Linked DNA regions of Macaca fascicularis. Each later gene encodes a partner of the first gene's protein in a complex. Links are inferred from orthologs where the notes say so. Each region holds a gene or a part of one and is shown in the gene's direction. Other genes may lie near its edges.

What was found.
Region 2: STRIP2 (region 1) and PDCD10 share a complex: the UniProt entries of both Homo sapiens proteins name them as parts of the core of STRIPAK complex. The link is inferred for Macaca fascicularis from reciprocal best matches to the Homo sapiens genes STRIP2 and PDCD10.

Annotation. Positions count from the first base shown.
Region 1 is NC_088377.1:170,929,361-170,936,154, forward strand, and holds part of STRIP2 (striatin-interacting protein 2), read left to right. Parts: intron 1-4; coding exon 5-68; intron 69-1,098; coding exon 1,099-1,170; intron 1,171-3,754; coding exon 3,755-3,829; intron 3,830-4,833; coding exon 4,834-4,931; intron 4,932-5,401; coding exon 5,402-5,528; intron 5,529-6,794. UniProt on the Homo sapiens protein: Plays a role in the regulation of cell morphology and cytoskeletal organization. Required in the control of cell shape. Calmodulin-binding scaffolding protein which is the center of the striatin-interacting phosphatase and kinase (STRIPAK) complexes.
Region 2 is NC_088376.1:79,122,410-79,129,303, reverse strand, and holds the start of PDCD10 (programmed cell death protein 10), read left to right. Parts: upstream 1-2,947; 5' UTR 2,948-3,574; intron 3,575-6,894. UniProt on the Homo sapiens protein: Promotes cell proliferation. Modulates apoptotic pathways. Increases mitogen-activated protein kinase activity and STK26 activity. Important for cell migration, and for normal structure and assembly of the Golgi complex.

The DNA of each region.
Region 1 (6,794 bases):
ACAGGGACACAGATACATTGGTTGGATTACCCAGGCCCATCCATGAGAGTGTGAAGACCCTAAAGCAGGTGACCAGGGTGGGCTCTCAGTCTTCAGGGATAGGGAGCCATCAAAGCAGGTCAGATTACCAGGCTCCTGGATACTGGGTGGGGCTTTTTTTTTTTTTTTTTTTTGAGACAGAGTCTTGCTCTGTCCCCCAGGCTGGAGTGCAGTGGCGCGATCTCGGCTCACTGCAAGCTCTGCCTCCCGGGTTCACGCCATTCTCCTGCCTCAGCCTCCCGAGTAGCTGGGACTACAGGCGCCCGCCACCTCGCCCGGCTAATTTTTTGTATATTTAGTAGAGACGGGGTTTCACTGTGTTAGCCAGGATGGTCTCGATCTCCTGACCTTGTGATCTGCCCGCCTCAGCCTCCCAAAGTGCTGGGATTACAGGCGTGAGCCACCGCGCCCAGCCCGGGTGGGGCTTTTATACCAGACTCTTTCTGGACCTTCTGTATTCCCCCTGCAGTCCTCTGGCCGGTTAGGAAAACTTAGGTCTCTCTTTACTTACTCAGTTTCCCATATTCAGGTAGATTTTAAAATTCTCCTTTCTTCCTCTCATTTCTTTTTCCTCTTCCCATTCTTCTCTCTCTCTTCCCATTCCTTGCTTCTTTTCCTTTCACTTCTCTCTCTCCATAAGTCCACTGACTTCCAAAGGCCCAGGATTGAATAGGAGCCTGCTCTATATCCATTGTATGCATGGAGTCATCACTCCGTGCATACATGCACACGCATCAAAACTCTTAGGGCAGTGGTCCAGGGGCAGGGGCCTGTTTCTGGCTTCCCCTTCCACTTTGTTTGAAGATAAATGCTTACGTATTTGCTGCTCTTCCGCGAATGTAGAAACAGAATAAACAGAAACACTGTGCACAAAGCACTTTGACTGGTGCTGATAATGCGGAGGTGATTAAGACTCCTGCCTTGAAAGAGTTCATGTCTATGTGGGGTGACAAACGCATAAGCAGAACATTTCCTTGCTTTTGGGGAATTTAAGTAAGAGATTGGTACACATGTGAATGAGGCCCTCAGCCCTTGTTGATGTCTTCTTATCTTTGTCAGCACAAGTATATCTCCATCGCAGATGTGCAGATCAAGAATGAAGAGGAGCTGGAGAAGTGCCCTATGTCTTTGGTGAGCCAAGGAGGTCCTGCACAGGAGAAGAGTAGAAGAAAATCTGTCTTCAGTGTTGTCACAGAGCATGTGTGCATGCATTCATTTCAGCATATTAGGCTCTAACTGTGTTCCAGGCAAGACAAGGTCCCTACTTTCATGATATATTGAAGTTGAGGAAGAAAGATAAAAAACAAAAAGTTAAGTAAACCAAACTATCAAAGAATGGTAAATACAATGAAGAAAATTTAAACAGGATAACATGAAAGAAGCATTGGTAGACTACTAAGATTGGGCAGCCAGTAGGTGGACCTCTGAGAAGGTGACATTTAAGCCAAGATCTGAGGGACAGGGAGCCAGCCATAGGAACATCAGAGGAAAGAGCATTCCAAACAGAGAGAACAGCCTTAGCAAGGGGAAAGCAGGTTTAGAGTGTCAGAGGTAGTGAAAGAAGGCTCTTGTGGCTAGAACACAGGGCCGAGGGCCGGGATCCTACAGATAGAGTCAGAGAGGTGGCCTAAGGCCACTTTGCCAAGAGCCTGTAAGCAAAAGTAGAGAGCTTGAAGTAGACTCACAGTCAAAGGGAAGGAAGCCTTTGGAGATTTTAAGCAGGGGAGTGATATGATCTGATTTATGTTTCTAAAAACATTAGCTTCTGTGTAAAGATTGGACCAGAAAAGTGTAGACCCACTCCAGGGAGATTAGTTAGGAAACCCTTGAAATAGTCAAGGTGAGAGATGATGCCGACCTGGATTTGGAGATGTAGCTGACAAGACTTGCAGTGCATTTAGATGTGGTTAGAGAGGCAAAGAAAGGAATCAAGAATAAGTACCATTTGCCAGGATGTGGGGGGAATATCAAGAGTTCTGTTTTGGTCATACTAAGTTTTAGATGCCCATTAGATACCCATGTGGAGCTGCAGGCAATTGGAAATACAAGTCTAAAATTCTAGGGAGAGGGCTGACTTTGAGAAATAAATTCGGAAGTTGTTTGTAACACTTATAGGCAGTGTTAAAGGCCATAGAACTGACTGAGATAACCCAGGGAGGGAGTAGAGACAGAAGAGAATGGAAGGCAGGACAAAGTCCTGGGGCACACCAGTATGTTGAGGTGGGCATGTGTCAGGAAAGGAGCCAGAAGAGTACGAAAGACAGTGAAGTGGCTGGAAATCCAGGAGATTATGATATCATAAAAGCTAAGAAAGTCTTTCAAGAAAAAAGGAGTGATCTGCTGGGTAAAATGCTACTAATAAGTGGCATTATGGTAAGAACCAAGGTGCCCATTGGATTTGGCAACATGAAGATAATGACCTTGATAAGAGCAACTGTAAGTGAAGTAGTGGGACTGAAAGCCTAATTGGTATGTATTGAAGGGAATGTCAAAAAAGGAGGTAGATGATATAAAAGTTTTGTGAAGAGGAGAGAAAGTGGATGGTAGCTGAAGGAGAATGTGAGGTCAAGGGGAGGATGTTTTATAGCTGAGAGATACTAGAACATTTTTTTTTGTCCTAAAATAAATGATCCAAGAGGGGATAATTGCAGGACTGAGGCATTCAACAAAGCAAATGGGTGTGGGATCCTGAGCACAAGTAGGAGACTGGCCTTTGTTCGAGCACAGGCGGTTCATCCTTCATGTTAAGAAGGAAGGAATAAGACTCTTTGTAGATGTAGTGTTGAGAAGATGAGTGTGTGCCTGTCTGAGTGCTTCTGTTTTCTCCATGAAGCGTGAGGCAGGATCAGCAACTGTTTAGGCATGGTGGGCAAAGGAGTTGGTTTGAGGAGAGGGAAGATGGTTTGAAATCGGCCTTTTGGAGAGCAGGAAGGCAAACATGCCAGGATTGCCAGGCTCCGCTGAATGTCCATTTAGGACTTATATCCATTTAAGCAGCAGATGAGTTGTGTGGGACAGAAGGAGGCTGGTTATTCTTCCCTGGCTCAGGGTCTCATGGTAGTGAACCCTTGCCCTGTAATAGAGAGACCTTGTAGGAGGAAGGAAACTGCATTGGTCAAAGATGACAGTGGCCTGAGCAGCCTATTGGGTCCCTGAGGCCCCAGCCTCCTCACTCTGATAAAAGGCTTAGTTAATGTCATCAATAGGACAGAGATAGTTATATATGAGGGGGCTGGTCAGAAAGGAGAAAGTGATGTAGGGGTGAATGGAGAGGGGAAGAAAATCATTTCCATCCACTTAAAAGCTTCTTTGCTGATATTCCTTCCTATTTCACCAGGCCATATGTTACCCAACTTCCTTTTAAACCCTCACTATTGAGCCACCTACCTCTCCTTCCAGGCTTACAGAATGTTCTAGAGTTCTCAGCCTCAGATCAACACTATAGGAAGTGCTTCTGTAGCATCTGTTCCAGTTTCCCAGGTCCTGAGAGGTCATCCAGGCCAACCTGATGGTCCTATTGAAGAGAAAACTAGGACTCAGAGAAGGAATGTGACTTATCCAAGGTCATACAGTGAGTCATTAACACAGCTAGGGTAGAAACCTAGATCTGACTCCCAGCTTAGTGCTCTTTTCAGGTCACCCCTCACAACCAAGAAAATAAAGCCTTTGGTCACCTGGAAAGTGGCATTGGCAAACCATGTATTTCTTGCCATAGGGGGAAGAGGTGGTACCAGAGACGCCATGTGAAATCCTCTACCAGGGAATGCTGTACAGCCTCCCTCAGTATATGGTAAGGAGATGGTTAGGCCAGAGCTGCCCTTCTCTGCTACAAGGAACAGACAGCTAAAAACCATTTCAAGCGGACCTGTCCAACACTTGAACTTGTTTTCTGAGCCTTTGTGCCTTTGGCAAGGCATTCTCTGACACGTGAAAATTCTGAGCTTTCCTCAGTGCTCCTCTGATGGTGCTGTTCTCCCTAGTCCTTCTTTGGGAAGGGTGGGGAATAAGTTGGGGTCTCTACAGGATACACTGGGGACCCACCCTCCTCCGAGATAAGTACTGTAGTCCCTCTGAGATCTGCTGTGGTCTGTCATGTACTAGATAGCCTCAGGCTGGGAGTGGGGAAGATACCAATGGTTCGGGTTAGAGGAAAGAAAAGAGTGGGAGAAGTTGGGCTTATGCCTCCCACCTTATTTCTACACACTGTCCCTCTCACTCTGTTCCTTCCATCCTCCCCTTTGAAAAGAACAGTCTTTTTTTTTTTTTAAGTGGAGTCTCACTCTGTCGCCCAGACTGGAGTGCAGTGGTGCGATCTCGGCCCACTGCAACCTCCACCTCCCAGGTTCAAGTGATTCTCCTGCCTTAGCCTCCCGAATAGCTGGGATTACAGGCATGCGCCACCACACCAGCTAATTTTTGTATTTTTAGTAGAGACGGGGTTTTACCATGTTGGCCAGGCTGATCTTGAACTTTCGACCTCAAGTGATCTGCCTGTCTTGGCCTCCAAAAGTGCTGGGATTACAGGCATCAGCCACCATGCCAGGCCCTGGAAAGAACAGTCTTAAAGCAGAACAGCCAATGCACTCCCTCTGGCTTTCTCCTTAGCCTCACAGGCAGGCCTCTCAGGACTGGGCACCTGTTTGCTCTTCTGGACGCTGGGGAGATATGGTCATTGAGGGAAGAACTTGGAGAATGGCTTTAAAACACTTTTTATAGGGCAGTTAGGGTGCAGAAGAATCACTCCCTTGCTGAGTGGATTTGACAGTGGTGAATTTCTTTATTTCTACTTCCCAGATCGCTCTGCTTAAGATTCTGCTGGCTGCAGCTCCCACCTCCAAGGCTAAGACAGACTCTATCAATATCCTGGCAGATGTCCTACCTGAGGAGATGCCGTGAGTGCTTCAACGGGGGCAGCTGCTGGATACTAGCTGTCTTGTCTGCAGGCTCTCTCTAGTCCCCACTCACCTTGTTAACACTTACAGAGATTGTCTCCAAAGAGATCTCCTCCTCTCTGCCCACCAGTACTCCCTTCCCCCTTCAGGGCTTTCTGCTTTGCTCTTTTTAGCTCAAAACTCAGGATCTGGAGGGTGACACCAGTGTCAGCGACTGGCTGCCCAGGTATTTGGGTGAACATTGCCAAGGGATGAGCTTGCCAAAAGAGAGATAGAAACAAAGAACTCAATGGAGCATTTCTTCAGACAGGCTCATAAGTGGGAACTCTGGAGGTTTCCCTGGCACAGAAGTTCAAGTTTCCCAAGTTCTGGTTCTCTTGTGTATATTATATCACACCCAAATACCTGGATCCCTGCAGGGCTCCCTTTTAGGCCACTTTCTGCGCTAATACCTTCTCTCGCCATTGTAGCATCACTGTTCTCCAGAGCATGAAGCTGGGCATCGATGTGAACAGGCACAAGGAGATTATTGTAAAGAGTATCTCTACCCTGCTTCTGCTACTCCTCAAACACTTCAAACTCAACCATATTTACCAGGTGAGCAGCTAGGAGCACTTCTCCACAGGTCTTGGGTGTTTCCCAGGCCCGATCTCTCAAAGGAAGGGTGCGAGGGCCCTTTTAGTTCTGATGAGCATCTTCCAGCCTTTTCTTTGTTCTCCCTCAGGGAATCCAGACACCCACTGCATGAGTTTGGGATAGGGTTATGGAGTGGGAACTGTCCTAGAAAGGTGCAGATGTCTGTGTCCCTTGTAAGTTATCCCAGGGTTGTGGGTAGGAATCTCTAGCTTCTCAGGAATATGCCCAGCCAGTTTTTTTTTTTTTTTTTTTTTTGAGACGGAGTCTCGCTCTGTCGCCCAGCCCAGGCTGGAGTGCAGTGGCGCGATCTCGGCTCACTGCAAGCTCCGCCTCCCGGGTTCACGCCATTCTCCTGCCTCAGCCTCCCGAGTAGCTGGGACTACAGGCGCCCACAACCGCGCCCGGCTAATTTTTTGTATTTTTAGTAGAGACGGGGTTTCACCGTGGTCTCGATCTCCTGACCTTGTGATCCGCCCGCCTTGGCCTCCCAAAGTGCTGGGATTACAGGCGTGAGCCACCGTGACTGGCCTGCCCAGCCAGTTTTTAAAACAATGCAAGAGAGAATGTAAGCATTTCACAAAAATGGGGGGGAAGGTATATTGACCATAGTTTTCTATATGTGAAGCACTTTTCCAACATTTGAGATATAATTCTGAGAATAAGGCACAGTTCTGGCTCTTCAAGGCCTTGAAATCTTATAAAGGATACAGATACATAAGTAGCCAATTATAGAGAGATAAGTGTGCTGATACCGATAAGCACTGGTTGCTATGGAAACACCTAATCCACCTTGAGATGGAGAAGAAATGACTTCTAACCTGAGTCCTAAAAAAACAGATGTTAGCCAGGATATGGGAATTGTTAGGGAAGGAGGACAGGAGGTATTTCAAGCAAAAAAGCTGATATGCAAAACTCCAGAGGGGGAAGAGAGAGCAAAGTACCTTTAAAAACCGTTATTAAATGTTGCTGGAGTTCTGCCTGGGGTGGGAAAAGATGGGCGTGGTCTGGTGACACATGAAGCTGGAGGAATCGGCAGGGAGCATATCATAATCTATATGCTAGCACACAATTACTGAGCACCTATCCTGTGCCTAGCACCCTGTTAAGCTTGTCTAGGTCCTCATTTAATTCTCTCCACCCTATGAAGTAGTCTTATTTAATACCTCTTTTATAGATGACGAAATCAAAGCTAAGAAAAGTTAAGAAGCTGCTTTCCCATAAAACATT
Region 2 (6,894 bases), on another chromosome or scaffold:
TGAGATTCTAGCCTTTACCATGCCTCAGAGCAGAAGACCTATCAAAAGCTGAGATTCAAAGTACATCTTAATTTCAACTGTTTCGATATTTATCTTCTATCCATTTGCTTGCTTATTAACTGTTTCCCAATAAAACTCTTTCAAACAGATATTTTAATAAAGGCTCGGAAAGAATTTCATTGCTAGTATTATAATTATTACATGGGGGAAATAACCCAGAGACAGCAATTATTCAGTTTTACAAAACGAATTAGTAGTAGAGTCTGAGAAAGGATCTAAGACTGATTCAAGACAATTCACTTAATCACAAATAACAAGGGCAAACAATCTTTTCCAGGTGTCACCCTAATACCCACTTTTATTTTTTTTAACCCCAACATCATTTTCACAGGGCCATATCAGCTATGTGAATTAATAGATTCTCCAGTGCTGTAGCAAAGATAAAATCTGATCCTTACAGTGCTTAAGTTTAGCAGCTACTGTTGCTTTTTCTTTCTTCTAAGCTCTTTGCTGTTTTTGATACTTAGCTGATCTGCTAGGGATAATCAAAAAGCAGCTGTTTTTCTAAGAGCTATCTGTCTATATATTTCTATGGTATGTGAGAGTGTGGGAGGGAAGAGTATATACACTGATAAGTCACTTAGGCTTACCGGTAGTAGCACGCAGTAGGACTGAACTTTAAGCTGGGAAGAGAATTCATTTGAGCCATTTCTTTTCAAAGAGAAATCTGGCATGCATTACAAAAATAAAATGTAAAATCCCGAGAACTCAGGAGAGCACAGAAATAGGAGAAAACAAGGCAATTACTCCATTTTATTGACCCTGGTTATTAAAAAAACATAGATTAAAGTATTGAGACAGACTCTGAAATATACAACTGTCACAATGAAAGCATTTCAGAGCAAAATTTGCTGCAATATGCTACTATGATTAAAAGCCATGTAATCTGGGAACCTCTGTAACAAAATGAAAATGAACTAGGAAAATAGCTTCTTACTACTTCTCTAAAAATAAAAGGCTGTAATTTTGTCATAATTACACAAAGGTAGGTGAGACTTTCATCTTTACCCAGCATTACAACATATTTCCATCCATAGGTATTACAATTACGTTGCTTTGAATACACATATGGTTTAATACCGAGAATAAACTATTATTTTGTGACACTACATGTGTTTTAAATCTGAACCCACCATCATAACACATATTAAGGATAGTCCTTCAGCACATACTTTCTACCCAGAGAAAAGATTCCCACACAGCTTTCCATGTACTCTTGATTTTAAAATGTACACATATTATCGGACACAAATGAGAGAATAAGGAGCAGCAGTGAGGTACACCATATGTTCCCACTGTAGGCTGAATCCAGGTCTTTGTTCCAATATTCCAGAGCCACTGGAAAGAAAGCTAACTATCCATTCATTAAAATTCATTTTTACATTATTGCTGGCAAAAGTTATACTTTTGATAGATTAAGTCAGAGCCCATCCTATCCTGACTATTCCTGCCTGCATTTGCTTCTTTAATACGGATTTCTTGCAATTCTATGAAACTGCAGAATAACCACCCTGGATAACAGGTCGGTAGCAGAACAATCTGATAAACCAACATAAAGGTAGACACTGAAGAAGAACGCAAAGTTATCTTCCTAGTGAAATAGTTCAGAAGTCATTCTATATCAATAGCAAAATTTTTGCTTTTTATACGCTACGCACCTATAACATCCACCAGATAACATCCACCTCGTCCTCAATTAGCAGGGTTTTTCTCAATCTTGAGATCCCCCCAGAACAGTTTTACTGGTGTAACTCGAACCAAAAACACTAACCACGCCCTTTATACCCAGAGTCAAGCTTCTTTTTGCTTTTTTGCCCTTACAGTCCAAAAATGTAAATCTTTCACCCGAGAGGGTTTACACCGGTTTCCTAACCCAAGGCGGACTCTTTTAGCTGTATCTTGATGTAATTCCTATTGGAACACGTTTTCTCCAGGGCAATGCAGACGCCCCGAAGAAGGACCCACGCTTACCTCCCACACACCTGCAACCCCTGACGGGATGCTGGAGCTGGTGCTCGGAGGACTGTGCTCCGCTCCGCTCTCGTTCCTGCTTTCGTCTCTCCCGGGAAACTACAGTCCAGACTGCGCCTCTGGCTTCTACAGGGACCCAAGCTCCGCCTCTCCCTCCTCTAGTTGGCGAATTTGGCAGCTGTTGCTCCTCCCCCTGCTGTTTTTGCAGCTGCCCGGGCCGGAGGCAGCGGAAAGCAGCTGCCGGTGTACCTTCCCGCTCCCCGCACTTCTGCAGCTGCTCTGCCACTTCCCCTCCCCTGGGGGTCCCTCTCCCCTCCTCTGTGGCTCACACCTGGAGCGGTCTCCTGCCCCACCCAGGCGTCTCTGCTGGGAGCCCCGGCTCAGCCTATCTCTCCCCGACGCGTGGGTCTGGTTGCCCGATGTGCCCGGGGCTTAGCTGCTCCTCCGCCCTGTGCAAGTCCCCACACCAAGCCCTCCCTTCACCCGGGTGATTTCCCCGAGGCTTCCTCTCCACCCGTACGGCATACTCAGCCCGACAACCCCACGATCCCCACCACGGGCCCCTCACCCCCTTCCTTCCTCTGCTCTGTCAGCCCGCCCCCTCAATGGGTGAGGCGCCTGCGGGGCCTACCCGGCACCCTGATTGGCGCAGGTGAGGGCTTGCCCCGCCCTTCCTCTCCCTTCCGTGCACCATCTCTCTTCATCTCACCTCCTCCCGCAAAGGCAGGGAACTCTCCTAGTATTGGCTAGAAGTGTCCCCACCCATCGCCTCAGGATCTCCCGCACGGCCTGCCGGGAAGTGTAGTCTTCCGAGTGCAGGAATTCCGGACAACGTTGGCGAGCGGGACTACGAGTCCCCATAGGCCTCTGCGCGACTCCGGCTGGGCAGGATTCCGGACAACGCCTGGTTCCTCTCGGGTCCTTCCGGCGTCGCCGGAGTGAATTGATCCGGGAGTTGAAGAGGGCTGCAAAGGTGGGAAGTGAAGTCAGTGCCTCAGTTGCTGGTAAGGTGTAGCTGTTCTGTCCCAGTCCCCATAGCTCTGCACCGAGCAGAAGAGGTCTAGGGTCACGCAGGGGCCATGGCTGAGGCACTCGGGCTTGATTCTGGCAGGCGGAGCGGACGGGGCTGAGAGCGGGGCCCTACGGGCGTAAGCGAGGTTACCCTACGCGAGTGGCGTAAAGCGGGTTTGTAAATGCCGCCTGCCGGCTTGGGCCCGAACGCCTCCAGGAAGTCTCCTCTAGGTGGGGGCGGGAGGGGAAGGGCGAGGTTGGCCCCTGGTGCCCCGGGAGAGGGGAGAGGGCGGATGTGCCTGGGGTGGGGTCCTTTGAAGGTGTGGCTTCGCACGGAGAGGTGAGGCTGCTCTTTTCCCCCTGCTTTGTAAATAAGAGAAAGGGAGGAGGAAGGAAAGGGTGCTGGGCAGTCTGCTGTCGGGGGTGACTCGGGTTATGCCCTTTGAGGGAAGGGGAGCACTGGAAGAAGGAAGAGACAAATGTTGAGGTCTACGGATTCAGTTCCAGTTTAATGATGTGGCCCTCTAAGGAGGTAATTTTGCCTTAAACAGAAAGGCTTGACCCTCGTAGGTGTCATACCCAAGTATGTTTTTACTCCTTTACTGCTTTCAGAGCGCTTTCATTTTGGGATGCTGATGAGGAAACCGAGGGATTATATGACGTGCCCAAGGTCACACACGTAGGGACAGACTTTCTGAATCTAGTCCTGTTCGAGTTCAGCTTCTGGAGTAGGGACGTTGGTTGTGCTTTTTGAAAAGAGTGGAGGAAGTTGCAAAGTAAATGTATTTTATGTAGTACATCTAAGAAGCCATTGTGAGATGAAAAGTTGTTTCTTGAACTGGAGTGAAATTCCTCAATAAAGGAAAGAACCTTTTGGGAAAAAAAGGGTCAGTGTTAACTTTTACAGATTTCCCCCTCTTTTTTAGGGATGTATTAAATGATAGACTCTACTCTCACAGTTCATTTTTAAGGGTAGGTAATAGGATGGGAGAACAACAGTTAATATCCATCCTTAGAAGAACATTCTTTTCTTTTTCTACTTTAGGACTATTTTTACTCTCATTTTGTAAAACTGATACTAGTTGGATTGGAATTCTTTCACAAAACTTTAAACTTTTTTCAAATAATGTTAGGAGAGTTTAGTGTGCCCGTTACTAGAAAAGAAAGTACTTTGCATTTCTTGGAGGTAACATCGTCTTTTTTGTTTGAGATTTTACTTCTCCCCCATTTTCTTGACTTTAGGCTGTATTTGTGTGTGTGTCTGCAAATAATAGAATTAGGCTGTTACATATTTTTATTTTTCTTAGAATCATCTGTGACTTTCAATTCATTCTTACTTTACATTAAAGAATGAAAAAACAGTACACTTACATTTTATCTCTTGCAGAAAATAGTGCCCTTATGCAAATTTTATCCTCTATTATGACCAGTTATAGCTCATGACTATTATTATTGGATAGGTTTTTAATAGAATTGTAAGAGTATGTTCATTGATGCCAGAATTTCTTTGTGATAACTTTATATCCATAAAGGTTAGCATGTAATAAATCATGGCTTACTCTTAACATGTAATAAATCATAGCTTACTGTATTATGTATAAGTTGATCATCAGACTATGCTGAATTTTGAATGTACTCTGCAGTTACTATATTATCAACAATATAGTAACTTTTTAATGCAAAAATATTTTTTTGGAGTAGAGGTATTCTCTTACCTGATGGTTGAAATTAAGATGGTCTGGAAATTAATACGATTTTTAAAATAGAAAAAGTATGCTATTATAGAATGAAGTAAAATCAGGAATAATGTACCATGAGTAATGTAGTACACAGACAAGGAAGACCCAGTTAAACAAATGGAAAATTATGTGAGGATAACTGACTTTGTGCTGGATTAAGAAGGGTGCGGTGGTGTAAATAGACCATAAACTGAACATGAGTCAGTGATGGTAAAGGAAGAATATTAATGTATTTTCTAGATGACAATGTAAGTATTTGCCTTTTGTTGAAGGAGGTATGAAATAAATTCTAACCTTTGGCACATAACTCTGTCATTATCGAAAGAGGTTTTGAACTATGAGGAAATTTTGGAAATAATATAATGCATTTGTTCAGTGTATTTTAGATTTTGTTCTTGGTTCATTTCTGCCACTACTCTATGTCTGAGGCCAATTATAGTTTTGATATTTCTTCTATTGGGATGGTGGATTAATGTTTGTATTGTTTTTAATCATCTTTCAATCACATGCTGCAGTATTGTTGTCACTTTAGATCTCTGCACGTTGGATAGTTAAGAGTTCACGGAGTTATGTGTATACATGTAGTTTGCAGCTCACCAGTGTCTTCATTTATTCTCATGCTGGGCTTTGCAGGAGCCTTATATCAGCTTTTGGATGTAATTTCTTATAGGACTTGGGATGTCTTCCATATATTATACATCTGTCTCTTTCTCTTAAGGATGTAAGGTCTGTAAGAATAGGGGCTGTTTATTATTGTAGTCTCAGTAGGTAAGGTAATATTTACGAAGAGAATGAAGAAGCTCAGGTTGGTTAAGTGACTTGTAACTGGTGGGAGTAAGATAAAAATCGAGATCTTCTGACTACAGATCTTTAATATTGTGGAGTAAAGACTTAGTTCCCTTAGATTTACATGAGAAAAAGACAATGTGACTTAAATATTCAAATACTATTACTTTCTTACTCTGTTTAACACTAAAAATTTATCTCTTCTCCTATCCAACTCTCCGTCCTTATCCCCAGCCTTTCTCATTTACCATGCCTTTTGGTTACTACATACATAAGCTCCTTCCTGACTTGGTGGCCATTGCATATTCCATCTCACTCCTTGGCCTACCTAAATGTGGCTACCTGATAGTCAGTTTTCATATCTCAATTTAAATATTCTTTCTTGGGGGAGCCTTGCCCTCCTTCCCAAAACCAGAATAGGTTCCCGCCATGTATTCACCATACTCTGTACTCCTTTGTGGCATTATGATAATAGAAACTTAATTATTTCTGTATTTATTTGACAAATATTGTCTCCTCACTGGACTATGAGCTTCCTGAGCAGGGCCCTCTCATTTGTCATGTGTTACCCTACCCCACTACTTACGTAGTACCTGGCACAATATAAGGGTTCAGTAAATATTTGCTGAATGAATGAAGGAGTGTATTCATGCACAATGCTTCCGGCACTTCTCTGGGGACAGAAATAGAGAAATGAATAAACCAGATATGCTTTCTGGATTGAAGTATATAAGAACTTTCAAATGAGCCATAATGCTTAGGCAATTTAGGTTATATGCAAAGGAGTCATTGACAGAATTTTAATATAAATTGTAGAAAAATGTTTGTTCTTTTTGGAGGTCTCTGAAATCAGGTTTAATTTTCTAGATGGAAATGACAAAGGAATCACTTTCATTTACAGCAAAATTGCTGTGTAACGCAGCATTTTAGAGATCACTGTCCTGCTTTTTGCAAGCGATGTTCATTATGACAAAATACAGACATGGAAGAAACTTCTAATGGACTCTTCTTCCCTAATGTTACCTCATTTTGCCCTAAAAACCTTTATTTCCTCTAGGTAGTATTATTAACACTGTTTTATAGCTGAAGACATCAAGAAAATAAGTAAATTTACTTATTAAACTAAAAAAAGTTTAAATTGCTAGAGTTTCCAAAATGTAGGTACTGGAACCATGGTTAGAATCCACATCTGTCTCCATATTCTAAAATCCATAATTCTTCCTTTTTCTTTGCTTTTTTGTTTTGTTTCTTGCTTTTTAACTTTGCTATCTTCCTATGAATTATACCTTTAATATCACTTAATTTAGACAAGGTGGCTTTGTAAAAT